Mus musculus: one gene and its partners. The protein of the gene in region 6 interacts with the protein of the main gene of each other region in a biochemical or structural test. Links are inferred from orthologs where the notes say so. Each region holds a gene or a part of one and is shown on either strand. Other genes may lie near its edges. The genes, in order: Arhgap32, Mcf2, Arhgap35, Kctd13, Smurf2, Rhoa and Pld1.

Region 1 (3,500 bases), about 76 Mb from region 6:
GCTATCTTCTGAGAAGCATGCTTAGGCTGTGAGACGGGGAGTGGCACGGGCATCACATCATCCACTGAGGCTGACGAAGGGACAAAGGAGTGGTAATTTGAACTGCTGGTGGCATCTGCAGCGCTGGAGTGCAAGGCAGCAGCCATCTTGCTCTCCATTGTCCGTGTTGGGGGAACTGGGGCAGCAAAGCCACAGGAATGGCCAGGAAAAGACTCAGCACGTAAGTGGAGTGGTGGAGCCCTGCTGCTTTCCCGAACCTTCTCAGGCAGTCCAGGCTGAGGAGCAGAGGCGCCCATGGGACACTGGGCAGCAGCAGTGCCATCACTGAGGAAGATGGGTGCGGGGTCACCCATGGCCCGAGACTCAGGTGGCCTCTCGGGAGCTGGAGCCGTTCCCTGGACCTGTGGGAAGACAGCGATGTTAAGAGTCTGTTGTTTAACACCAACCCCTCAAAGCTAAATGCTAATACATTTATAAGGGGCAAACCCAGGCTATTTGGGTGACAGCTCAAACTTTGTCCAAGCTCTTCAGTTACACTGAACCTGACCCATAGCCCCCCAAAAAAGAGTATGTGTGTGTCTACACAGTACGCTATTACCTATGGAGACATGTGTAGTGTTTGCTAACTCCTGCTAGGGTTGAAATGTGAAGAGAGACTGCCTACAATGGTATCTTAATGTGCAGAACCAATGACAGGATTAGGCAAAAAAACCAGTGCTGGGCCTAAAAAAAATAAACATCCTACCTATTGGTCTCAGCACCAAGAAGATTTTATTTAATGAAAGCAGCTGATTTTATCAGCTGGCAGGAGTTTCAGAGTGACTCAGTTCCATGTAGCAAGCAGTTTTAAACTTCCAGATACAGGGAAGAGTTTCAAAGTGACTTGTCTGCAGTGGCAGCATGTGAGGGCTTACTGCCTCTGCGTTTTGTCCATCCTGTCAGTGGGCCCACAGATAAAATATGTTGTCCCTGAGAGGTAAGTTCTACAGCTAGTACCCTCCAGGAAGGGCCAGAATTTTAACTCCTTTTGGTTAAGGTTACCACAAAACCTGTAGGAATTAGGAAAACTCTTTGGCACTCTGTATCTAGCACTCCCACCCCCCCAACGCAGGCATTTGAACTATGCAACACAGCTGCTCACAGCAGGGAAATAACAAGAACTCCAGATATCATCACTCCTTAGACCTCTGAAAGCCCTGGAGATGAAGTACCTTCAATACAGACATCAAGGGTTGGGTAGTCACAAGGTGGTCACATGACTCACTCTCAGTCACCTGAACAGTGAGGCAGCTGGAAAAGACAATCACTACTGCAGCCCTGGGCTCCCTCTGCCTCATTCTGTCAGTGTGTCCCCGTGAAAGAGCTCAGTGCTTCAGGAAGGAAGGAGAAGCAGCAAGGATAGTTAAGCTGCAGTCACCAGGGGCTGCTCTGTCATTACACAAAGCCAATAGCCAGGCACAGGCAGAGACCGCCTGCTTCAAATGGCAGATTCCATGGAAATCTGCCACCTGACTGACACGCATCTGACTAAAAGATAATACATCCTACCGAATGGCATACCTTGGGAAAAGTATACTACTTCACTGACTTCCTCTCTAGCTTACCTTGTGGGAATTATTTAATCCTATACTTGGTGCTTCTTGTACCTGCCCCACAACTGGTGGCTGCTCTGCAGGCCTCTGGGAAGGAGGTGGAGGGAGGGGCCGATTAGTTCTGTGCGTGCGCTGAAGGGTGGCAGCCACAAAATCAGCAGCCGAGGGCTGCTCAGCCAGGACCCTGCTGGCCTCGCTGTTGCTCGGTTCCGCTCTTGCTGGAGTTGCCATCATGTAAGCCATGGTGGCTGTGCTGGAATTCTCTTCAGGGGACCCAGAGAGAGGGTGGTGGGCTTTGTCCCTAGGCAAAGTAGAAGGCATGGGAGATTTGTCTGTAAGTTCTGAGGAATGGTGGGGTTTATCCACACTGGTACCAAGGTAAGAGAGGGGCTGATCTCCACAGGAGAAATGGAGTGGAGACTGGTCCTGCTCCAAAAAGGAGACAGTGGACACGCTGCTCTTCCCAGCGTGGTCTTCAGGGAAACTTCCATGATCATCAGACTTCTCTGAGTCTGTTAAGGGAGCTGAAGTGCTTCTAGCCTTTTCTGGATCCCCAGATATATGGTTTCGATGTAGCGAATTCCCTATTAAGTCTACTTGGTGGAGTTGCTCCCCAGAGTCAGTTGTGTTGGACTGGGTGGGACCTCCCATAGCTGCTGCCTCAGGGAGAGGCTGGTTACAGTTTCCGAGTCCATTGATCTGCGGGTGGAACTGCTCTGCTGGCCGGTCCGTTTGGAAACAGGTTTTATCTAGAGTAAGGCTAGAGTAGGAACTAGGCAGCTTCTCTTCAGATGGAACGACTGCCGTGTCTCCATAACTAGTGCACCCAGCCTGGGAAGCCCCTGGTCTCTTCAGTGTCTGACTTGAGGCTTGCTGTGCAGACTCAGCTAACGCTAGTGCCAACATTCGGGCGACATTTTTCGGAGGCGGTGGTGGTGGGATAAGAGAGACTGAACTGACAGGAACGGGATCCTGAGGGGGGTCATGGGTAACTGCTCCTAGTGGGAAATTGGGAAAAAAAATTAGAATGAAAAGGTAGCTTATGTTACCCTATACGGAAAGCCAAACACTCCCCATGTGATCACTAAAAACATAAAAATATGCCTTCCATATTTCAAAATTGCAATCCATGATCTTCTATCCCACATGCAAATGCTGCTGAAACCACATCTGGTTGAAAGGGAAACTACCACAGTGTTAAAGGCTGCCAGTCCTCTTGAACTGCTACAGAGGGTGGAGGGAAGCAGGCCTCCACTGACTTAGAAAAGGTCACTTAGAGCACAAGCTTCCAGTGCTCAGACTGTGATGGTACTGCTACACTGGCTTGTCAACTTGTAAGGCTAGAATAGAATATGCATTAGAAGAGAAAACAGAATCAAGAGCTACACAGTTGTGCAAAAATTATCCATGAATCCTGACTGTCCAGAGACTTAAGGGGTCCTTTGTGAAGGCTCGCAGCAGGACCATGGGCCCTTTGGGGAGTTTTGTTTGCTTCATTTTAGTTTAGGGCTTTGAGCCCTCAGCACCATTCAGAAAAACATTCTTTGATTCTAGCCTAGCTGTGGAGAAGGCTCTCTTAAAAGGCACAGATGGCACACAGGACGGAAGACCCCTTTTAGCTTAGAGAAGGAACGGAGGAGAACAAACAGTACCTGTCTGACTCTGTCCAGACGGTACAGCCTTGCTCTGACTGCTCAGGACAGGCCGCTCCTCTGTCCCTGGCAACTCTACTTCTTCAGCTGCCCCCTGTTCCAGGGGCTGTGCTTCTGGTTCACAGGTCTCCTGTGCCTCTCTCTCACCTGCTTTCATCTTTCCTAGCTGCAGCTGGGTGGGGGATCTATTTATGACATCTCTTTCTTCCACACTTTTGTCCCAAGATGTAGGTGATGCATTCTGAGCTACAGTATT
Region 2 (4,085 bases), on a different chromosome or scaffold from region 6:
CTCCCACACATATACGCACTAAAAAGAGAACAAAACAGTGTATTTTTGAAAAGAGCAAAATAAGTCCCAAGCTGTACACGGGGTTACAAACCTGTAATTTTGGTTACTCTAGAGGTTGAAGCACATCCTTTAAACCAGGAGCTCAAAAGCAACATAGGCAAGTTTTTTAAATGCCCACCTCAACAACAACAACAACAACAACAACAACAACATAAAGTTATAATATCCTATAGGGTGTGTCCCAGCCACAGATATACTTATCTTTGCAGGGACATGGTGGTAACTGCTGAAAAATACCTGAACACAAATAGCTGCCAGTCTCCCTACCCCACTACTGTATCCCTCTCCCCACCCCCACCTCCACTAAAACACAACAGAGTGCTAGGATGTATTGCCATGCCACAGTGGCAGCATGTTAGAAACTTCCAAGGATCAAGAAAATGAACTGAGAACAAAGAAAGAAATGCCTGGCAATAGAATCATCCCTTTGTATTTCATTTTTGTGGCATTTTCCCACCAGGATTGTAACTTAGAGGTAGAGCATTTGCCTAGCATCCAACACACAGGCCCCAGAACACCTCATTCTCTCGTATCCATACAAGTGTGTGTGTGTGTGTGTGTGTGTGTGTGTGTGTGTGTACATGTGAGTGCCTATGTGTTATGAGTGGTGGTAGACATGAGGATGTACCTATGCCCTCTCAGCACTGAGGATTATTTGGAGCTGGTCCTGAGCTACAAAGTGAGACTGTTTCATTTTTTATGTGTTTTTTTTCTACGAAGTTGATCTTTAGCCCCCACTGCACACGACTTGTGCACAGGCTTCCTTTTTTTTTTTTTTTTTTTTTTTGCCTCCCACATCCATTTAAACTGCCCTGAAACCCTGAAAAAGTGTGTGCCCCACTCCCACACTTCCCTTAATGATTTATTATTACATACAGAAAATAACATTGACCGCTTCCAAACAAAATACTCAAGACCAAAGGGTTCTTTGTTACCAAGCTTTAGACAGAGCCCTGGGTTTCCTGTGGTTTAACCGAAGTCATCGACGTGACCTCCTTCCAATTCGTGGACAGCCTCAAACAAGAAGAGGAATTTGGAACACACACTGTGGCTACCTGATTTGAGAAAAGAAAAACTACACCATGTCTAGTTTTTAATTCCCAAATTCCCATTACAAGGAACACCGCAGGGTAAGCAAGCACCACAGACGCACAAAAGACATGGCCAGAGCTGCAGCACCTGGCGGATATTCCTGGACTGCTAATGGTATTAGAGGAACTTTAAATTTTAGGAGCCTCTGCATGCTTCACGGTACACCAAGAGTCCAAAGCCAAGCAACTCCGACTAGCTCAATATGTATACATCAAGTGCCGCCTCTCACTACTCTTAAGCTTTTTACCAAAACAGTGGCAGCAGTTAAGACATTTGTTAGCTTTGGTTTTGTCCCTCCAAGGCAAGTAAGAAAGAGCCTTTCGCCTTTGTAGTAAGAGCTGAAGGAAGACAGGAAGCTCATAGGACCAGGCTGGAAAGAAGTGGCGGTCCTAGTGAGAAAACCCAAATTCTTGACCGCAGTTTGCCTGCAAACTCCTCCTCCAACTTCAGGCCCGCGGCTTTCAGAATCCAAGCGCCTTTTTGACTTGGCCCTAGCACGCGTACGTGAAACAAACAGCAACCACCCACACAAGTAAATAAACCTCGCTTTAAAAACTACAGGGAGTGTTACAGGGAAGTGCATCTGCATCCTCCTCCTCAGCAAGGTTCCGCTCTAGGGTACAGAATGCGGTGTAGGAAGATTCCTCCCTTAACATTCCCAACTCCACCAAGAGGCATCCAGGTGGGTGGTGGTGGGAAGTGAGGAAGAGACCTGGAACAGTCTCACCTTGCATGGCGGGCTTCTGGGGGTCCACCTGCGGGGCTTGAGCTGAGCAGAGAGCCACACACATCCTCAGAGTGGCAGCTGGCCTGAGGAACTGAGGTCCACAGTCTGGGCGGCTCTAAACTAGGAGTGCCACAGCAGGGGGGGTGGATTATGGAGTGAATGGGGGCAGGGAAAGGAGAGGGAGAAAGAGAGAGTGAGACAGAGACGGAGGGAGAGAGAGAGAGAGAGAGAGAGAGAGAGAGAGAGAGAGAGAGAGAGAGAGAGAGAGAGGTTGATTGAGAGAGAGAGAGCAGAGAAGACAAAGTGCACCAGACATCCCCTACCCGAACAGGTTGAGGAGGGAGCCGGGAAGAGGGGAGAGAGCCCAGTGTTCCAGGCAACTGAGTGGGAGTGCACAGGGATGTGGTACTCACCTGCTAGGAAGACTGCCTGCAGCAAGCAGAGGTAGTTCTTCCCGTACTTCTCCGCGATCCTAACGCGATGCAGGGCCATGGCCATGTCCACCTGCACCGGGACCGCCTGCGTGAACGGCACGAAAGAACAGTGGTCCTGATTCAGCTGGAGATTGGGCGCCTTGGCGGCAGCCCTAGGCAAACGCTTGACCGCCAGCCACTGCGAGGCCAGGGCCGGAGTGGAAGCGGGAGGGGACCCTGTTGGAGGGAGCCCAGCCCGAGAGGACCCTGCTGGAGGGAGCCTTGCTGGAGGGAACCTTGCTGGAGGGGGCCCTGCTTCCGCCATCCTCAAGCCAGACTCGCTAGTTGGTGACCCCAACCTCAACTGGCCACTGCCGGACTCTGGCTCGCTAGCAGCCCGTCTGTGCAAGCACAGACGCGGCCAGAAGGGTCGCAGTCTACGCAGCTCAGTGGCTTAGAAGACTAGAGCCCCCTAGCTGGGACCAACAAGCCCCAGGACAGGGAGCCCAGAAACTTGCAGAGATTTCAAGACTCTGGCTGCAGAGCACTTCTGACCTCAGCTACTGAGAGTTGAGCAACTCCGCTCGGAGTGGATGTACACCCACGTCCCCGCCTAGTTTCCAACAGGATGGATCAGGGGCGGGACACCGAGAACCAGAGGGGACAGCCCCCACAGATACGCCCGCGGAGGGGTAGGGAAGGCTGGAGCACGTGTAGGGAGGAGACCGCCCGACCTCTCACTCTAGGCAGTGGGAGCTGGAGTCAAGAGTTTTCTTCCTTTGCATCCTGCTTCTCAGGGCAGGGCAGGAGTGGAGTAAGGATACACAGTGTGGGCACCTGCAGATAACACTGTTGGAGAGCTTTGCTGATGCCAGAAAAGCAGCCCTGGTTAGTCCAAAAGGGCTGGAGCTCTAGCCTGAATGTGCCTTCTCCCACCCTGCCCCCCACCAGCCTGCACTCGCCCAAGTTTCCTGACTTGCTTTAAAAAGGAAAGGAGGAAATAGAAATGGGCTACTGAGAAGACTGTGAGGTAAAAAACACTTGCTGGATCAACCTGGGTTAAAGGAACCCTGTGTAAGTTATGGTATAATAAGAGAACTGATCCCACATAAGTGTTCCCTGACCTCTACATGCACTGTAATACATATGTTATGCACAAAAATAAATAATAACCAAAGTCGAATCTGAACATACAGATCAGTTGGTAGAGTGTTTTCCTAGTGTGCACTTCTGGGTAGGAGATGGACTCTGAAGGATCAGGGTTATCTCCAGCGACATAGCCCATTCCAGGCCAGTCTGGGCTACTTACAAAAGATCCTGTCTCAAAAACATCACATACGCAATTAAAACGAAAAATAACAACAAACTGACCAGGGGAATGGGGGGGGTGGCAGCAAGACAAGACATCCTCTTGAAGAACCAAGTGAGAAAGGATGGGAGGTCCCAGCCAATCCCTTCTCCTAAGCCCAAAGCTCCCCAGAAGAAAGCTTTGGAAGAGTAAGGGAAAGCTAGCTGCTCATAACAAAAGCTAGAGCAGCAGGACTTTGAAGGGCTAGCAGGGAGGTAGGGGGGAGGGGCTGGAGGGAGGGAAGGGGGAAAAAAGAAATCTGGTAAATAAATTATAATCTGGAAAAAAAAAAGGAAAAGCTATAGAAGCCGGGCAGTGGTGGCACACGCCTTTAATCCCAGCACTTGGGAGGCAGAGACAGGTGGATTTCTGAGTTTGAGGCCAGCCTGGTCTACAGAGTGAGTTCCAGGACAGCCAGGGCTACACAGAGAAACCTTGTCTCAGA
Region 3 (3,010 bases), on a different chromosome or scaffold from region 6:
TCTTGCTGTGGTTTCTTTCTGTCTCTGTGGAGGAGCTCCATCTTTCTTCCAGTGTTCCTTTGCTGCAGGGAATGGATCACAAGTCTGGGAAGGGGTTGGAGGAAAGCCACACACTGGGTATAGGCACAAAGCTCTCCTCTTGCTGTGCTGTTGGGCCATGCCAGTGACCCAGTGTGTCCTACGGGGTAGCAGAGCCATAGCCCACATGTTCCCCAGACCCCCGCTGCAGGTGTGTGTAGGTATGGACAAGAAAGGACAAACTGGGAAATGTCCTCTTTAGAGGGGCCAGCCCTGCTTGGGGTTACCTCTGCCCCTGGCAGAGGCTGGGGTGATGTCCCGATGGTGGGGCCTGACGCTGGTGCAGGCAGACAGGTTGGGCCAAGGGGTCCAAGGAGCAGTAGGGGTGATGGGGCCGCTATCTGGTCAGTTCAGTCCTCAGATTGGCCCAGACAAGGCGAGGGCTCACAGCTTGCCACAGCCATAGCCAGGGCAGGTGAAGAGCAGGTGCTCAACTGCCCAGCCATGGGGGACACTGGCTAGTGCCACCACTCAAGTCTTAAAAAGGCGCTTGGCTGTGACTTCCACCCCAGGGGACCTGATTTTGTTCAAGGCCAAATGCCACCCTGTCAAGAAGACGATTGGTTTTCCTGCTTCCTGGGCTGTGGTGGCTCACAGCGTGTGTTCGGCTTGGAGCTGAGAGGACAGCAATGGCTGCATTGGGGACTGAGGGGTTGGAGGAGGTGACTGGGGAGGTGATGGCTGACTGGTAGCAGGTGTAGAGGTGAGGAAGGGAACAGTGGGAGCCATGGCTGAAGGGGAGCCAGGCGCAGCCCCTGGAGGCTCGCTGATGGGCCGGTTGTAGAAGAAGAAGGGGCACTGCTGGATGAAGAGCTCGATGATGGTCTGGTAGGAGCGCGTGGCTGTGAGCGCGTCCATGCTGCTGAAGTCAGGCCGCATCAGCGTGGGCCAGAAGCAGATGGACAGGTTCTCACTGGTCATAAGATTCACCTTGTTGTTGTGGCTGACTCTGTAGGTGACAGCAAAGGCAGGTGAGATCTGCACAGGGCCTCAGGGGTGTCTTCCCTGCCTGCCCAGCTTCTACCTGAACCTGTCACCAGCTTCAAGGAGCTTTAGGGCCCAGGCTATCAACCAAATTGGTGATGATGCTTGGGATGGGCAGGAAGTTAGTGCATGGCTCCAAAAACTATCTATCCCTCTGCCAACAGTCCCACCATGAGTGGCTAAACCTGGTTATCAGTAAAGGGTTTTGCTCACATCATAGGACAGGCTGCTCTGTCCTAAGGCACCCCTCCTGATATGTGATCTGTCTCACACGAGCACCGAGACATGGACGAGGAGCAGCTGTGAGAAGCTCTTGGCATTTTTAATACTGTGAAGTTTCTGAAGGCTCTAGCACCTGCCAGAGAAATTACCCTGTCACCCCCCACAGACTTGGAGCCAGAGCCAGAATGGAAAGTAAGGATGCCACGAGCCTAGCTATGCTACATGAGGGCAGGCCCTGCTGGCCTTCTCCCTCAGTTAACTAACCCAACATGCTGCTTATACAGGAGGAAAAACAACCAGCAGCTCCTAAACCTACTTGTTCAGGTGGGAGATGACATATTTGAAGACTTCATGGTTTTCCTTCGGGAACTTCTTCAGCACTTCCTTCAGAGCATGCAGCTTCTGTTCCCTGTCGTTGATTTCTGAAAGAGAAAAATGAAAGGTCTCTCCAGCAGCCGAGCAAGATGCCCAAAGGGAAGAAGGCCAAGGGGAAGAAGGTGGCCCTGGCCCCCGCCGTCGTCAAGAAGCAGGAGGCCAAGAAGGTGATCAACCCTCTGTTCGAGAAGAGGCCCAAGCACTTCGGCACTGGACAGGACATCCAGCCCAAAAGAGATTTAATGTGCTTTGTCAAATGGCCCCGCTACATCAGGCTGCAGCGGCAAAGAGCCATCCTCTACAAGTGGCTCAAAGTCCCTCCTGCCATTAACCCGTTCACCCAGGCCCTGGACAGGCAGACAGCTACTCAGCTGCTTAAGCTTGTCCACAAGTACAGGCCAGAGACAAAGCAAGAGAAGAAGCAAAGAGGCTACTGATCTGTGCTGAGAAGAAAGCTGCTGGCAAAGGGGACGTCCCAACTAAGAGACCACCTGTCCTCCAAGCAGGAGTCAATACAGTCACCACCTTGATGGAGAACAAGAAGGCTCAGCTGGTGGTGATTGCCCATGACATAGACCCCATTGAGCTGGTGGTTTTCCTGCCTGCCCTGTGTCGAAAGATGGGAGTGCCCTACTGCATCATCAAGGGAAAGGCCAGGCTGGGGCACCTGGTCTACAGGAAGACATGCACCACTGTTGCCTTCACACAGGTTAACTCGGAAGACAAGGGTGCTCTGGCTAAGCTGGTGGGAGCTATTAGGACCAATTATAATGACAGATATGACGAGATCCGTCGCCACTGGGGAGGCAACGTCCTGGGTCCTAAGTCTGTGGCTCGCATGGCCAAGCTGGAAAAGGCAAAGGCTAAAGAACTCGGCACTACACTGGGTTAAATGTACACTAAGTTTTCTGTACATAAATATAATTACAAAATTAAAAAAAAAAAAAAAGAAAGAAAGAAAAATGAAAGGCTTTCAGGGCTGAGTTTGGTGGGAGTTTTGAGGACACCAAATGGATACAGAGCAGTTGGTAGGACAGACAGGTGGCTGCTGGCGGCCAGCCCAGGTGTGCTCTGGGAATCCTCCGGGAGGCCAGTCCCATCCTACTGTCATGCCCAGAGCCTGCACCCATGGCCGCACACCTGGACTGGGGTCTATGTCCCAGGCCCCTGCTGAAGGGCAGTACTGTGTGCCTGGGCTTCCTGCCTCCCCCCAGCTCCCAAGACGAACCATCCACAGATTCTACCATAAAGAACACCATTCTTTGCTCATTGGTTGCCCCTGGAGACAGGCACTCTGATGCAGAAAGACTGCTTGCTTCCTGGCCAGACGGAGGGTGCTGCCACCCACCCA
Region 4 (3,500 bases), on a different chromosome or scaffold from region 6:
CAGTCCTCCCTCCCACCCTCCCCAACCCCCTCTGACCTTGGTCTGCTTCTTCTCCGTAGCATAGACTATGGAGGTACAGCACACCTCGGCAATTTTTCGGCCCTGCCCGTAGAAAGACCAGCAGCAAATCTCATCTCCTAGGACATCCTTGAGGAAGAGCAGCCGCCCATGGAAGCGCAGGGCTAGTTTGTCAAACAGCTCGATGTTCTTCAGTAAGTTGTCATCTGAAGTGCTGAGAACCAGGGGCAAGCGGTTTTAGGTGACTGTCTTCCTTCCCTCCGCTCCCCCCAGTGGGGCCCACATTCCCAGTCTTGTGCAGCAGGGCACTTCTGACTGTGTAGGCCTCTGAGGGGACACATTTGCAAGGCAAATTACTGCCTAGCACAGAGGCTCCTGGTGCAGGCTGTCACCAGGCACCCCAGCACTGCCACATTTTAACTCGGCAACATTAGGCAGGTTACGTAATCCTCTGGTGCCATAATATCATCTCTAGTTGGAGACCAACACATCCTCAGACCACTGGGAACACAGATAAATTAACAGACAACACTGAGAACAATCCTGTTGGGAAATAAGGGACTAGCCTATGCTAACTATTATCACAGGCTTTGCTTGAACCTCATTTACTGACGACAGGTGGCACAGATGGGATGGGACATTCAACAGGCAGGCATTCTGCAGTCTCTCCATATGACCACAGTCCTCCATGGAATATAATAGTAGAGCTCTGCCAAACCTAGGATTCTGTGGCTGTAAACACACAGAGCCGCCCCGCCCCCACTCGCCCCGCCCCGCCCCGCCCCGCCCCCGCTCACCTGGTGTAAGAGTACTTGTTGTTACTGCGGTTGTGTAGAAGCTTCACCACAGGCTGTAGGGAGGCAGAAGGATGCAGTCAAGAGACTGGGAAACAAAAGCAGCCATCACAACTGCCCAACCCACGGGCTCCAGGGCCTCACCTTGGAGGTGCTGGCCAGGAGCTGCTGCTCTTCCCGGGGTGATGTCACTGTGGGGATGAGGCATAGTGGCGACAGCTTCTCCCTTTTTTGCTGGAGAGGAAGTGGAAGTTGATTAGCAGTACAACTGGTGTTGACTCACACCACTTAAATAAAGGCTGTGTGACTCTGTTTGGGGGTTGAAAATACTCTTCCATGTCTCCAAGGCTCACTAGGATGTGACCACTCCACGCCACTCTGGCTGTCTTGTGCAGTGGTACAGCTAGTGTATAATTTAGCATGCCCAGCTAAGAGGTTTATTTTTTGTGTGTTTGTGTGTGTGTAAAATTAACATGAAAGTCCAAGCATGGCAGCAGGTCCCCAAAGGCCCATCTACAAGAGTCTAGCTGTCTGCCCTCCCCATAACTCCACCCTTAGCCTACCAACCTGCTGTTCTGCAGGCACACACTGCATGGGTCAGCCTGCTAGGGGTGTGCTGCATTGAGCTGTGTGCAGCTCAGCATGCTGACCCACAGGCAGTTCCACTCCTGCAGTTACATAGCTTCCTTGGGTTCGGAGTATTGGTTGCTTCTCTTCACAGCACTTAAGTCTGTGCCTGCGTCTGTTCTGACATGTGCCTCCTGAGGACTGTACAGTGATGACCAGTGTAAGCACACTTTGCTGAATGACTGAGTACAGCGAGGTTGTTTATCTCTGGAGGGCCGGGGGTTGGACCCAGGACCGTGAGGGCATCCCAAGCGAGGACACTGAGGACACTGCCGCTGACTTATACCAGTTTTTTTTTTTTTGGGGGGGGGGGGGGTTCGAGACAGGGTTTCTCTTAGTAGAAAGAGAGTAGGTCTATATAGAGTGTGAGGCTATGTAGTCCTGGCTGTCCTGGAACTCACTTTGTAGATCAGGCTGGCCTCAAACTCTGCCTGCCTCTGCCTCTCAAGTACTGGGATTAAAGGTGTGCGCTACCACCACCCAGCTACTCTGCACCATTTTTAAAAATAAAAAATTAACTTTTAAAATACTGAGACAGCCTTACTAAATGACTTGAGTGGACAGTCCTTTGCCTCGGCTGTCTCGGTGACACACGCCTCTAATCCAGCACTTGGGAAGTGGATGCAGGAGGATGTCATGGATTTGAGACCAGCCTGATCTACAGTGAGACCTGTCTCAAAAACAAACAGAACAAAAAACAATCCTCCTGTCTCAGCGTCCCACATGTTGAAATGTCCCTTTAGAAACATGTTAGAGGAATGCCTGTCTCTAACGCCACAGTCTAAGACAATTTCCAGAAATTGGTTTTGAGACTTATTTTTTTTTTAAAAGACAGATAGGTTTCTCCATGTATCCCAGGCTGTCCTAGACCTCACTCTGTAGACCAGGTTAGCCTCAAACTTAGAGCTCTACCTGCCTCTGATTCCTAAGTACTAGGGTTAAAAGCCTGTGCCACCTTGCCCAGCTAAGAGGTTTTTGTGTGTATGTGTTTATGAGTGTTCATATGTACATATAGAATTTAAATGGAACTGTAAGGCCCAACTACTAGAGGCTGAGGTGCAAGGGCCGCTTAAACTTGCGTCTGTGAGAATGGCCTAGACCTAACTCTCATAGAAAGTACAGAGGAGAAACGTAAGTTCATCCAATCAGGAGACAGGAGGTAGACGCGAAGCAGAGCCACAGTGCAGGTCTATACAGAGTGTAAGGCTATGCAGGACTCTGCGTTGAGATTGTCTCAAAACAAAAACAACCAAAGACAGGAATGTGTATACTGTAACGGAAGCACTTGGGAGGCAGAGGCAAGTGGTTATCAAGTTTGAAAGCAGCTTGGGCTACTTAATAAAACTACCTCAAAACAAAACAAAACATCAATGGAAGCATAGAAGTCTGCAGTTACTGCCAGTTTTGAAGCGGTGAGTCTGTAAGGCATAAGGATCCACTACAAAGGCAAAATAATGGAAACTGCAGTTTTGGCACAGAGACAAAATAAAGTCCGACAGAAACCTGTGGGTGTGGCAGGTGAGAGCTGAGGAAAAGCGCAGGAAGCAGGACACACACCTGTTCTCTGTGCTGTGTAACAAATGGCCCCAAATGCCACAGCCTCACTTAAAGTAAGGTCTTTACGGTTCCTTTTCCTCTTTGGTGAGCTGCTCAGGCCCTCAGGCTCTCCCATGAGGCATGCACAGCAGGGGTGTACAGGCATCTGAGAGCACTACTGCTTTTTAGGGATCACTTTCTAAGACATATGGCTGCTATGTTCACATGGTTGTTGCATGAGGGACCTAACCTTTGCCACTGGACCTCTCTGTAGGGCTGCTTGAATGTCTTTATAACACAACAGCTGGTTTCTCCAGAGAAAATAATGCAAAGGAGAAGACGGACAATGGACAGCTCACTGTCTTATGACTAGCTTCATCTGCCTTAAGTCACTGGGAGCTCTCTCAAGGTTGGCTCCATTAATTCATTGCTCCCAAGATTGTCCAAGTCTCATCACTACACTGGCAGCTCAAAGCAGAGAAAATCTGAACTAGGTTCAGGATGGGATAAGGCCATTTGGGCACA
Region 5 (3,500 bases), on a different chromosome or scaffold from region 6:
GGATTTCTGAGTTCGAGGCCAGCCTGGTCTACAGAGTGAGTTCCAGGACAGCCAGGGCTACACAGAAAAACCCTGTCTCGAAAAACCAAAAAACCAAAAAAAAAAAAAAAAGAAGACGAACCAAGTGTTAGGCCCATGACTTTACTGGGGTATCCCATAAGGAAATCAAGGCCAGGGAGGGTGAACAGATGGGTAAATAAAGTCAGTACTAACAAGGGTTTACCAGTGCTCATAGAGTTAGTAAAAGATTGATCTGAACTTACTACCCACGAAAAATAAAAATATTTTAATACATTCATTTATTTATTTAGGGCACAGCTATACCATCATGTTCACAGGGGCTACACAGAGAAACCCTGTCTCGAAAAACAAACAAACAAACAAACAAGGTCTATTAACATAATGACTCTGACAAGGTAATCATAAATATTAAAAGTGCTAGACATAGTGGCGCACGCCTTTGATCCCAGGACTAGGGAGACAGAGAATGGTGGACCTCTGAGTTCAAAGTCAGCCTGGTCTACGTGGTGAGTTCTAGAATGGCCAGATCAAGAAGAGCCTGTTGGGGGAGGGTGGTGGAAAGAGACAACCTCCCCACCCCCAATTTTTTTCAAAGCAGCAACAAAGACACATATTAAATGGGTTCTTTTGTATTATTCTAAACAAGTAGTAGCCAGTTCTCATTTAATTTATCCTATTGAATCTACCCCTAAAAAAATTAATGAAGCAAGAATATTTCCCAAAATCATCCCTGACCTCTATTAGTTTTATTCTATTCTAACATTTAGCACAATATTTATTGCACACATTAATGAATGAAGAAAGCAGAGCAGGTAGTATTTATTTAGAGATTCTAAATTGAGTTACTCTGTGGATACAACTTTGTTCTCAGGATTCAAAGAAGCCACGGTCTGTTGTTCTACCACTACCCAAGTATCTTTCCCAAAACTGGTGACAAAGACACACTGCTGCTTTCCTGATGATGACGCTCCCTTTCCTCCCTTGTTTCCTCAGAAGACAATGCCAGTAAGTAATGAGGTTGGGAGAAAATGGGCAACTAGAGAGAAATCAAAGTAAAAGATGCAAATGTGGTACAAAAACCATGCAGTACAGACATGATCAGAAACCAAAGCACTGATAGGTCTGAATCTAGGAGCACTTCAAGTTGGGAAAATTATAGAGAGTCAACCTCTGCTTGTTCCCTCATCTGGAGAAATATTTACCAGGAAGAAACTTAATACATGCAAGAACAACACTTTACACACAGAAAGTGCTACTGAGATTTCTGTCAGTCACTGTTATCAGCTGTATGAAATAGGATGGCAACACAGAAGTAGCCTGCTCAGTCTCAGCTTCTGGTCAAGCTACAGCCTCTGTAAACAGCCTTCTTGCCTGAGCACTTCTCATGCATACTTCTTCTAACATTTCAGTACTGGTTCCTGTTTGAGCACAGTGAAAGTAAGATATGCACTACGTCAGAATAAAATATCCCATTTTCTTTCATATACTCTGATCAGTAAAAGTAAATTATAGCTAGGCATGGTAGCTCATGTCTACAATCCAAACACTGAAGAAGCAGTGGCAGGAAGAACTGTCAGGCCACACCAGTAATTCAAAGCCAACCTGGACTATCCCCTTGAGAACTCATCATAAATATAAATCAATATTGTAAATTTAAGAGATTGCATATTCTTTCACATTATAAAAAGCACATATATATCCTCTTGTTTAGAACAATATTTTCACATGTACTGCTTCAAAACTTACTTTAAAACTAAATGCAAGTTAGCAGAGAGCCGGGGATCTGTAAATTGTGTTGTTCTGTTGTTATGGTCAACGAAATAAACTCTTCCTGTTGCGGTATTGCGGATCTCCCATCCAGGAGGCAAAGGACCGAGCTCTTCACAATTGATGTTGCTAAGATCCCTGCAAAACAAATATACAACAGAAATACCTCATTACTGGGCTTGCTGAGCCAAGCAGCGTATGTGACACAGAGCAATTCCATGAAGTCTGAGAGAATGTATTGTTTCAGAAACTTGAGATGCTCAGCTGGAATCTTTAATTCCCAACGGTTTCACAAACTTGCACATTCAACACCCAATTCCTAAATGGATCAAAACTTATCACACAGTCTGGCAATCATACTACTTGCCAACATAAACTACACTTCAATATTTGTTTGACAGAAAGTATTGTTTTACAAGCGTCAACCATATAAAAAATTTCTATTCAATATTTTCTTTCTTTATTATATCATAAAGTTGGGTGTAAACAAATGTGCATGCAATGAGTGATTGTACTGTTCTTCAACAAGCAAAACTGGAAACATTACTAAAATCCTGATCCTGGAAATAATCATAACATTTCTTTTTTAACAAAATATGTTGTTTTAAAGTTTTGAAGTCTATAAATTTCATGAAGAAAAACCTGGTAAGGATACTTAAGAAGAATGTTTTAAGGTTTATTGTAGCAACAAAGAAAAGATCAAGTACTTTTAGCAGACAAGGACCACTGTATCACACACCATAAGGATATATAGGACCACACAGAACGCAGCTGAATGCTCTGAGGTGGCTGGTGGGGTTGGGGTGCCTAGAAGCATAGAAGATCTTGGCCCTCCCTAACCTTGTTCTATGTGTACTGCTCCCTTCCGGCTGTTTATGAACCAGCAACAGCAGTGTAGATTTTCATCCTGTCCTGCTAGAGCAAAACTTCTACAGAAGGAGACCATCCCAGAGTGTCCAAGTTACTGGAGGCTGCAGGCGAAGATGAACAGTGTCCACTGAGGCATTACCAGCTCTTAGAGATTTCTTCAAATAATGATTCTGATTTCTGCTTAAAATGATCCTGGCCACTCCTTTGCTGCAGAACAACTAAAGCTTGAGAACCACTACAGAAGAGGCAAAGCAAAGTTCTGAGAACCTTCAGTTCACAATAACAACGAAGAACTGACTTGGTTCTGTTCAACAGAGAACGGACTCCCCGATGGGGTGCGCTCAAGTGGGACTTGAGTGGCAGCTGGGAAGAGGGAGATCAGCACCAAGATTGGGGAAAAAGTCCTGGAACTTCTCAAGCCGAGAGCTCAAAAAGGTGAAGCAATTCTAGAAAAACTTTCCAAATTCCCATCATAGGACCAGAGAATGCCAACTAATAAGGATCAAGTAACACATGAGGCATGGTGGCATATAACATAATCCCAGCACTCAGAGGCTGAGGACATAGGTAGAGTGCAAGCTCAAGCCCAGCCTGGGCTACAGACCAAGATTGTGTCATCTAAAAAACAAAACACACACACACATATGCATGTACACACAGACACACACACACACACACACACACATGCATGTACACACACATACACACACACACACATGCATGTACACACACACACCTTTAAACCCAGCAGAAGCAGGTGAATTTCTGTGTGTTCTATATCAGCCAGAGCTACATAATGAACCTACCTCAAAATCAAACAACACAACACAACACAACACACC
Region 6 (4,126 bases):
CCACTGCCTGGCAGAGTCTGAGTTGTCCTTGTTTTCTGGTGTACTGTGACCTCTGCCGTGTGGTAGAAGCTCAGAGATTAGCTGAATGAAATGTCCTGATAAGTAAGCTGTTGTTTTTAGAGATTAGGAGGTTGACTTGATGAGGTCGTATGCTAAGAATAGAGACTGTTAGGCTGGGGGTTATAGCTCCAGTGGTACAGTACTTGCCTAGAATAGATGTTCTTGCCTTCCTAAAGAAAGACTTCCCAACCAAGGGATTTGTTTTCAATAGACCTGGCACATCACCTTTCTGAAATTAAGGTAACACCACCATCCATCCCCACTGAACATGCTGATGAGAGGCTCTAAAGCCACTGGGAACCCCCAACTGGAATCCTGAGCTCTACCATTAGCCTTGAAGGATTCTTGCACAGCCACTAAGCTGGTGCACTCACATGCTGAGAGTTCTCTGCCTGTCAAGCATGGGGTTGGGATAGACAGAGATTTACTCACCATGAAGAGAAATGTGTGGAGCCATCAGGTGTGGATCCATTCTGGCCACCCAGACCTGGAGGCAGGAACACACCCATAGCTGCAGGAGGCTGAGGGTGGGGATCTGAGCAGGCAATAGCCCAGGTCAGGTCAGGGGCCACTGGTATAGTTTAATAGAGATTGAGGCTGGGATACTAGGGACTAGTGGTATTGTCCAGGAAGGGTTTTGAGAAACAGTTAACAACGTGATGATGGGCATGAGGGGCTTGTGGTGTAAAATGGTACGGGGTTGTAAGTCTGGGTACAGTGAGGCTCCTGGAGGACCAGTGGTAGTCTATGTGGACACAGGAGAACCCAATGGTACAGTATGGTGGTGGTAGGGACAGCCGGGCCAAGGAGGTTCGTAGGGAGCCTCACCTGGACGGTGATACAACCCGGTCACTGTGTTCCCGTAGAACCCCCAGGCCAGCTGGATGCCCAGGAGACTTAACACCAACCACAGCAGGAGCAGCTTGAAGAGAGTCACTCGCATGTCTTGTGTCTCCCACTCCCGCAGAAAGTCGCTGCCCAGGGTGCCCAGCGCTCCGAGCACCGTGGCGGGCAAAGCTTGCAGAAACTGCCCGGCCCAAGGCTCCGCCATGACTGGCCAGCGCCCCACCGGGAGTACTGTCACCGTAGTTCTTACTGCGCAAGCGTATGGTCTTCCGGGGTTAGGCCTGTCAGTGCGCACGCGTAATACAAGGCAAGGAAGATCTACTTCGCTTGCGCGAAGTGTTGGCAGTTTGGGGAGGGGTTTTTAAAACCGCGCAGGCGCACCCAGCCCCACCCTGCTTGCTTAAAGGATGAGTGATTCGGTGAGGATAAAATAGCAACTCGCTCTTTTATAGCCCCGGTGTTCCCGTCATGCTCCACGCGTCTGCCATGATTGGTTAAGCGTCTAGCTCTCAGGGCGTGGATGCGTTCTTGAGCAATCGTGGCTGAACTGAGAGTGTGCGCGCGTGCGCGGGGCCGCGACTGGCGCCAGCTCGAGCCCGCAGGGCGCTCGGGGCCGCGCACGTCGCTCCCCGCCCTCCCGCCACCGCCCGCCCTCGTTCGCTCGCGCTCCCCGCCCGCCGCCCGCGGTCCTCCGTCGGTTCTCTCCATAGCCCGCCGTCTCCCACGGAGCTGCCCGTCCTTGGCTCGGAGCTCGCGGACTCGCGGACAAGCGTCCTCAGCGCGAAGAGGCCGGACTCGGAGTCCTCGCCTTGAGGTGAGCAGGAGCATTTCCCTCCAGCCGCCTCGGCTCCGGGCCCGGCTGGTCGGCTGATCGGCAAGCACTTTTCCGGCCTCCGGCCCGTCGCCTGCCCGCGGTCGCGCCCCACCTGCTGCTCTCGGCCCGCAGCCCCTCGCCCCGGCCCCTGACCTGGGGCCCCGCGCCCGAGGCGGCGGCCCCGCCCGCGCAGTCCCCGGAAGCGCGCCCCGCCGCCTCCAGTCCCCCTTCCCCCGCCCGGCCGGGCCTGGTGGAGCCCTAGCCGCCCGCCCTCCTCGTCGCTTCCTCTCAGGGTTGCGCCGGGCTGGGCGGGGGCTCCCGGCCGGTCCGCGACCGCGCTGGGGTAGCCTGCCACTGCGAAGCGCGTGTGGCTGTCGGGAGTTGGACTAGGCAAGAAACTCTTTTACAACTCCATTTTGCCTTTTGCATTGAACGTGGATTATTAATCCCGTTCTATACCGGGTGAAGACAGTGAGGGTTTGGGTGGATTTTCTGTTTTGAGTGCCGTATTATTGGAGATTGTGTAAGTAAAAGATTGTTTTGAAATCTTAGCGGTTATGACTCTATGGGGGAAGGTATTTTCCAGTCGAAAAAACACATAATAATTTGGCGAGGTTGCATCAAAATAGATGCATTTCTGCTTAAAGTTATTACTTCAATTAAGAATCACTGATGGGTTCCCCTTTTCAGGTCGGTTTCGTAAAATTGCATTTTTTGCAGGCAAGTTGATTTAAAAAAAAAAAAGTTCATGTTTAGTAGCTGATAGTGGAAAATTTGACACCATTTTTTTTCTTTTTTGCCCCAGAATTGGTTCTACTTGTATTTTCTAATAGTCATCACTAAATTTTGACCTATTAGTTATTTATTTGGTTTTGTCTTCTGGTATATTTTGAAATAAGTGCTTTTTGCATGTTATATATAACATTATATATGTATAATATGTAGTACACGTATAATGTACATCCCCCATGCCAGTCTGAAAGGGGAAAACTTATATTTTAGGATGCGGTATGTGGTGAGAATTTTTAGCCACTTAGTGTCACGTGCCCAAATGTGTATGTACCATGTGGAATGTTTTTTTCACCTTTCATTGGCTAGTTTGAGCATTTGACTCACGTATTATTAAACTAAGAAAACAAGATCAGGTCTTAATATTGAAGACTCTGAGATGTTGTTTGGAGTATTTCTCCGGAGCAGTGACGTTTCTTAGGGACATAAAATATATGGAGCTTGTTTTTTTCCTATTTTATTTTCCTCTTTGGTGTTGGCTTGGGACACAGTGAACAGGTGCTGTATCTCTGAGCTGCATTTCAGCCTTACAACTTGGGATCAAACTCTAGTGCTCAACTTACATAGCTTCTACTCAAAAATCTACTGAACAGGAGAATAGGAACATCCACTCTACTGATTGTACCCCCAATAGATGTAGTATTTTAGACTGGGGAGGAAAAAAAAAACTTTAGGATTTACAAACCAATTCCGTTTGTAGGTGTGGGAACTGAGCTTAGGGAATTTTTTTCTCTTTCCTTCTGTGTGTGTGTGTGTGTGTGTGTGTGTGTCTGTCTGTCTGTCTCTCTCTCTCTTTCTTGAGAAAGGCTTATTACTCCGCAGAGAGAACAGTGGGTGTGATAATACCAGAAGAACCACTGACCTAAGACTTAATTTAAAAAAAAAAAAAAAGACACTGGGTCTGACCTGAGACCTGGAACTTAATTTGTAGATAAAGCTGGTCTCTAATTTCCACATGCTCCTAGTGCTGCCTCCGGAACAGTGCTGGGATCACTGGGTGTGTGCCACCATTCCTGCTGAGACTTAAAATGTTTGAAGGTCATACATCTAGTTAGACTACAACTATTTTTTTTTCTGTTATTCTCCATGTGCTGTCAGTTAAAATCAGAATTTCCAGGTTACTTCAGGTTCTTTACCATGCAGATTATGCATATTTGGGAAACAAATTTCATGTTTTTGTAAGTAGTTCCTTTCTGGCTAGGCCTTGCCTTTGAGTGTGTTGGTTTTCTTAAGGACCGGGTTTTGAGAGTTTACTGTTAGCAAAGATAAGGTAATGAGGTCCAGCTAGAATGTTTTCAAGACTCCTTTGAGTCAGTTTTAAATGGAATTGGTGAGAATTTGCATGTATCAAGTAGACCATGGTCTGTACATGTGTGAGAGTGGTTTTGTTGGAGTGATTTCATAGTCCTTTAAAAAGTCCATCTTGCTCTATTAGGGGTGTAAGTAAGTTACTAGAAGAGTGAAAACAGATCTTCAGAGCTGGGTGTGGTGGCACACGCCTTTAATCCCAGCAGGCGGATTTCTGAGTTCGAGGCCAGCCTGGTCTACAAAGTGAGTTCCAGGACAACGAGGGCTGCACAGAGAAACCCTGTCTCGGGAATAAAAAACAAAAACAGA
Region 7 (3,183 bases), on a different chromosome or scaffold from region 6:
ACCAGCAGTGGGACGCGTGTCCTAAAACTTAGTGTGGCAGCTCATCAGCTCCCTCTCCTGTATAATATTTTCACTCCACAAACATTTACCCACATGTCCTTTGTACTAGGCACTGTTTCAGAGTCTGAAGACAAACTAAACAACCTATGAAGTCTCTGCCGTGTCCAGGTACCATTCTAGTAGTGGAGACAAAGAAACACAGATTACAGGATTCGAAAGAGCAGAAGACGCCCTGTCTGAAACCTCCATGTCCTTCGTCTGGGGTAATAATGAAGTGAGGAGAGACTAACACTGGGTGCAGGAGTCTGTTGTACATCTGATGGGCAGGTCTACATCATTACTTCCTCCAATGTAACCCTCTGCTGTACCATGGGGAGGGTTAAAGTAAATGATTTATTATAGGTCTGTGCCAGACCTTTATGGTCTAATGAGAACATTTTGTACAAAATCAAGAACCAATTTTTTTTTTTACTGCTTTAAGGTTTTTTTTTTTTTAATTTAAATGAAACACAGTAAGCCTTCAGGTACTCCACATACACTGAATATCTTAAATATAATCAGATCTTTATCTGCATAAAGTGTCTTATTCACTAAAACTACAAAATGAAATGATTTCACCATCCTTGGCCATATAAGAAATAAGTTATTTATTCATAAAAACATGTTAATTTCCATTGTTGATTACAAATCCTACCTCATTTGTACAATGTTCCTCAGGGATGACACATCTTCCCTTGGATATAACTGTCACTCTGTTACTAACCTATATCACTGGCTTTGTGGTCCTGTGTCATTTTTACACCAGCACGTTTATTCATGAAAACATGGGTTGGGAGTTGCTTTGAAGAGCACCTTAAAGGAAATTTTACTCCAGCAATCCCTTTTGTTTACAATCACATAGGTACCTCGTATGCACAAGTCCCAGGCTTCCAGGAACCTGTAGACCCTCCCAGGATGCAAGAGGAGCTCTGAAATTTGGTCTACAAAGGGCATAATACCAGCTGAGAGGGAGCGTGGATACCCACATTTCAGATCGGAACAATGTGAGTTAGTGTTTCAGCTTCTTTGGGAGCTGTCTTGGAATGATACAACATGGTTAACAGTTCAAGCAAAGTAGAGGTCTTGTATAATCAATTGCCTTTTCCCCTAAAGAAGGTATAGTGGAAAACTGAAGGTAAAGCCTTTGATTCACTTGAAAGACAAATTACATCCACTGGCCTTATAATGGAGAAAATCAACTTGGTTCTGTCAATCCAGTGGCTAAGGAGGACATGGATTCTTCAGACAGACAGAAATCCTGTCCTTTATCTGAACTGGATTCCCACTGACATCTTGGAGGTCCCATCTGTGCGTATCTGGTTACAATGTTTTGACATATGCTGCACATGTTGACAAATGTTATCAGATGACAAGGACACAGCTGGGCAGTATCTTTGGGAACAGAGGGAAATCCTTCTTCAGTATTAGGATTTAATGCCTTCCTGTTATTAAGATACAGTATTGATGTCCTTAGAAGTGCTTAATGTATGTAGTTAGGTAGGCAAAGCCTGTTCTGTCCCTACAGTGACTGAAAAAGAACAAAGAACAATGTCTTGGCTTAGTAGATATGCTCACATTAGGATCAGGTTGGGTACAGGCATCATCTAGATCCTTGAGGACCATCAAAGCAGCTCTCCAACATCTTTCATTAATAAGCAATCTCTTAAACAGTGTTGTATGGATGACAAGGTGGGCCCCAGATGCATAAATGAACCTAAGAACAAGAGCATTCAGGCAACTTTTGGCAACTTGTATGGATCACGGTCACAGGCAGAGTCTTGTTAGCAAAGGAAATGGGTTTTGAAATACATGATGTAATTTGTGTCTGTGTTTGGTGTTATCTGAGCATATGCTATCGACAAGAACGTAGCTGTTTTTCTCAAGGACAAGTAGGGGGAATGATGAAGATCTGCTTATGTCCAGTGTCCTTATATCAGGGTGACCACTGCCACACCCAACCACTCTGAAGGAGTCCAGTGGGTAGGTGACAGGAGGCATCAGGCCCAACTCTGGCTGTGAAGTCCTTAGAAGTGAACATATATGAACTGTGGTCTTCAGGTTGGAAGACCCTCAGTTGCAAACAGTTTAAGTCCAAACCTCCATAGGCACAATGGCTTCTTTGGTTCCAACAGAAGGCAGCAGGTTCTCTTCTGATAAGAAATAGAGAGGGAACTGCACCAAGAACCCGCGGATCTTCCTCAGTTCTTCCTCGGCGCGAAGGCGATCCTCTTTTGCTAATATGGGCTTGTTTATAAAGTCCCGCAGCTGGATTAAATTGTGTACTTCATCATTGGGAAGGCACCGGAAGACCTGTTAAGATACAAATTGGAAGCTGAGCCACTTGCTTAAGGGCAAGCCCCGGTTCTTTATGAAAGGTAATCATTCCAACAGGCAAAATGTTTTGTAAAACATTCATTTTATGTCACAGCACAAGCCGAATGGGTTACTGTTCACAGCTGGGTGAAGTGACACATGCCTGTAATCCTGCACATGGGAGCTGAGGCAGGAGAATTACAAGTGTAAGACTAGCTTGCGCTATGTAGTAAGTCCTGGTTTCAACCAACCCAACCAACCTTAGTTGCAGCTTTTCTTTGCTAAAACACTGCTCATCTGTTTCCATTTTAAAAGGCCACTCCCACATTCTTATCCCAGTGCTATTATCCACAGAATAAAGTCAAGATAGCAGTAAGGAACACTTGCTTAAATGGAAATTTTAAAACAATTGCCCTACTCAAATTTCACTGGAGATTCTTGTCAAAGGGGAAAACTGCAAGTTCTGTTTTCTCTAACTTTTCACTTTGAAAGACACATATGGCAACACGTTTAGTGTTTGTAAGTATAACCCTTTGCTAACTGACATATGGTTCAGACATCAGAGCACTAAACCCTTGGGAATTTCAGAAGGTGTTGCATCAAAACATGGACAGGTACCTACAGAATCAACATCATCCCTGTGTCTAAGACACAAAATTCCACCGTGTCATGTCCAGCTTGATCCCATTATATCCAAAATGTTTTCAGCTTCCACCTTCTCATGACTGGTTGGTCATATGCCCCTGATGTGTTTGATGAGAGCTCTACATCCTATGGAGGACAGGGTACAGGGTATCACTAATGCCTCTTCTAAATGATAAGCCTTATAAA

What was found.
Region 1: of the proteins of Rhoa (region 6) and Arhgap32, one has a biochemical effect on the other in vitro, tested with the Homo sapiens proteins (3 studies listed by BioGRID). The link is inferred for Mus musculus from reciprocal best matches to the Homo sapiens genes RHOA and ARHGAP32.
Region 2: the proteins of Rhoa (region 6) and Mcf2 form a complex in vitro, tested with the Homo sapiens proteins (2 studies listed by BioGRID). The link is inferred for Mus musculus from reciprocal best matches to the Homo sapiens genes RHOA and MCF2.
Region 3: the proteins of Rhoa (region 6) and Arhgap35 form a complex in vitro, tested with the Homo sapiens proteins (3 studies listed by BioGRID). The link is inferred for Mus musculus from reciprocal best matches to the Homo sapiens genes RHOA and ARHGAP35.
Region 4: of the proteins of Rhoa (region 6) and Kctd13, one has a biochemical effect on the other in vitro, tested with the Homo sapiens proteins (2 studies listed by BioGRID, with this or other methods). The link is inferred for Mus musculus from reciprocal best matches to the Homo sapiens genes RHOA and KCTD13.
Region 5: of the proteins of Rhoa (region 6) and Smurf2, one has a biochemical effect on the other in vitro, tested with the Homo sapiens proteins (3 studies listed by BioGRID, with this or other methods). The link is inferred for Mus musculus from reciprocal best matches to the Homo sapiens genes RHOA and SMURF2.
Region 7: the proteins of Rhoa (region 6) and Pld1 form a complex in vitro, tested with the Homo sapiens proteins (2 studies listed by BioGRID, with this or other methods). The link is inferred for Mus musculus from reciprocal best matches to the Homo sapiens genes RHOA and PLD1.

What each region holds. Positions count from the first base shown.
Region 1 is NC_000075.6:32,255,803-32,259,302, reverse strand, and holds part of Arhgap32 (rho GTPase-activating protein 32), read right to left. Parts: coding exon 3,245-3,500; intron 2,591-3,244; coding exon 1,605-2,590; intron 402-1,604; coding exon 1-401. UniProt on the Homo sapiens protein: GTPase-activating protein (GAP) promoting GTP hydrolysis on RHOA, CDC42 and RAC1 small GTPases. May be involved in the differentiation of neuronal cells during the formation of neurite extensions.
Region 2 is NC_000086.7:60,176,290-60,180,374, forward strand, and holds the start of Mcf2 (proto-oncogene DBL), read right to left. Parts: upstream 2,801-4,085; 5' UTR 2,618-2,800; coding exon 2,293-2,617; intron 1-2,292. UniProt on the Homo sapiens protein: Guanine nucleotide exchange factor (GEF) that modulates the Rho family of GTPases. Promotes the conversion of some member of the Rho family GTPase from the GDP-bound to the GTP-bound form. Isoform 1 exhibits no activity toward RHOA, RAC1 or CDC42.
Region 3 is NC_000073.6:16,496,984-16,499,993, forward strand, and holds part of Arhgap35 (rho GTPase-activating protein 35), read right to left. Parts: intron 2,594-3,010; exon of another isoform or gene 1,730-2,593; intron 1,707-1,729; coding exon 1,601-1,706; intron 1,028-1,600; coding exon 670-1,027; 3' UTR 1-669.
Region 4 is NC_000073.6:126,938,879-126,942,378, reverse strand, and holds part of Kctd13 (BTB/POZ domain-containing adapter for CUL3-mediated RhoA degradation protein 1), read right to left. Parts: intron 1,047-3,500; coding exon 957-1,046; intron 869-956; coding exon 816-868; intron 233-815; coding exon 37-232; intron 1-36. UniProt on the Homo sapiens protein: Substrate-specific adapter of a BCR (BTB-CUL3-RBX1) E3 ubiquitin-protein ligase complex required for synaptic transmission.
Region 5 is NC_000077.6:106,844,216-106,847,715, forward strand, and holds part of Smurf2 (E3 ubiquitin-protein ligase SMURF2), read right to left. Parts: intron 1,927-3,500; coding exon 1,768-1,926; intron 1-1,767. UniProt on the Homo sapiens protein: E3 ubiquitin-protein ligase which accepts ubiquitin from an E2 ubiquitin-conjugating enzyme in the form of a thioester and then directly transfers the ubiquitin to targeted substrates.
Region 6 is NC_000075.6:108,304,834-108,308,959, forward strand, and holds the start of Rhoa (transforming protein RhoA precursor), read left to right. Parts: upstream 1-1,326; 5' UTR 1,327-1,720; intron 1,721-1,963; exon of another isoform or gene 1,964-2,243; intron 2,244-4,126. Other genes in the region: Tcta (T-cell leukemia translocation-altered gene protein homolog), read right to left, coding at 493-595, 889-1,111. UniProt on the Homo sapiens protein: Small GTPase which cycles between an active GTP-bound and an inactive GDP-bound state.
Region 7 is NC_000069.6:28,130,680-28,133,862, reverse strand, and holds the end of Pld1 (phospholipase D1), read right to left. Parts: intron 2,350-3,183; coding exon 2,125-2,349; 3' UTR 501-2,124; downstream 1-500. UniProt on the Homo sapiens protein: Function as phospholipase selective for phosphatidylcholine. Implicated as a critical step in numerous cellular pathways, including signal transduction, membrane trafficking, and the regulation of mitosis.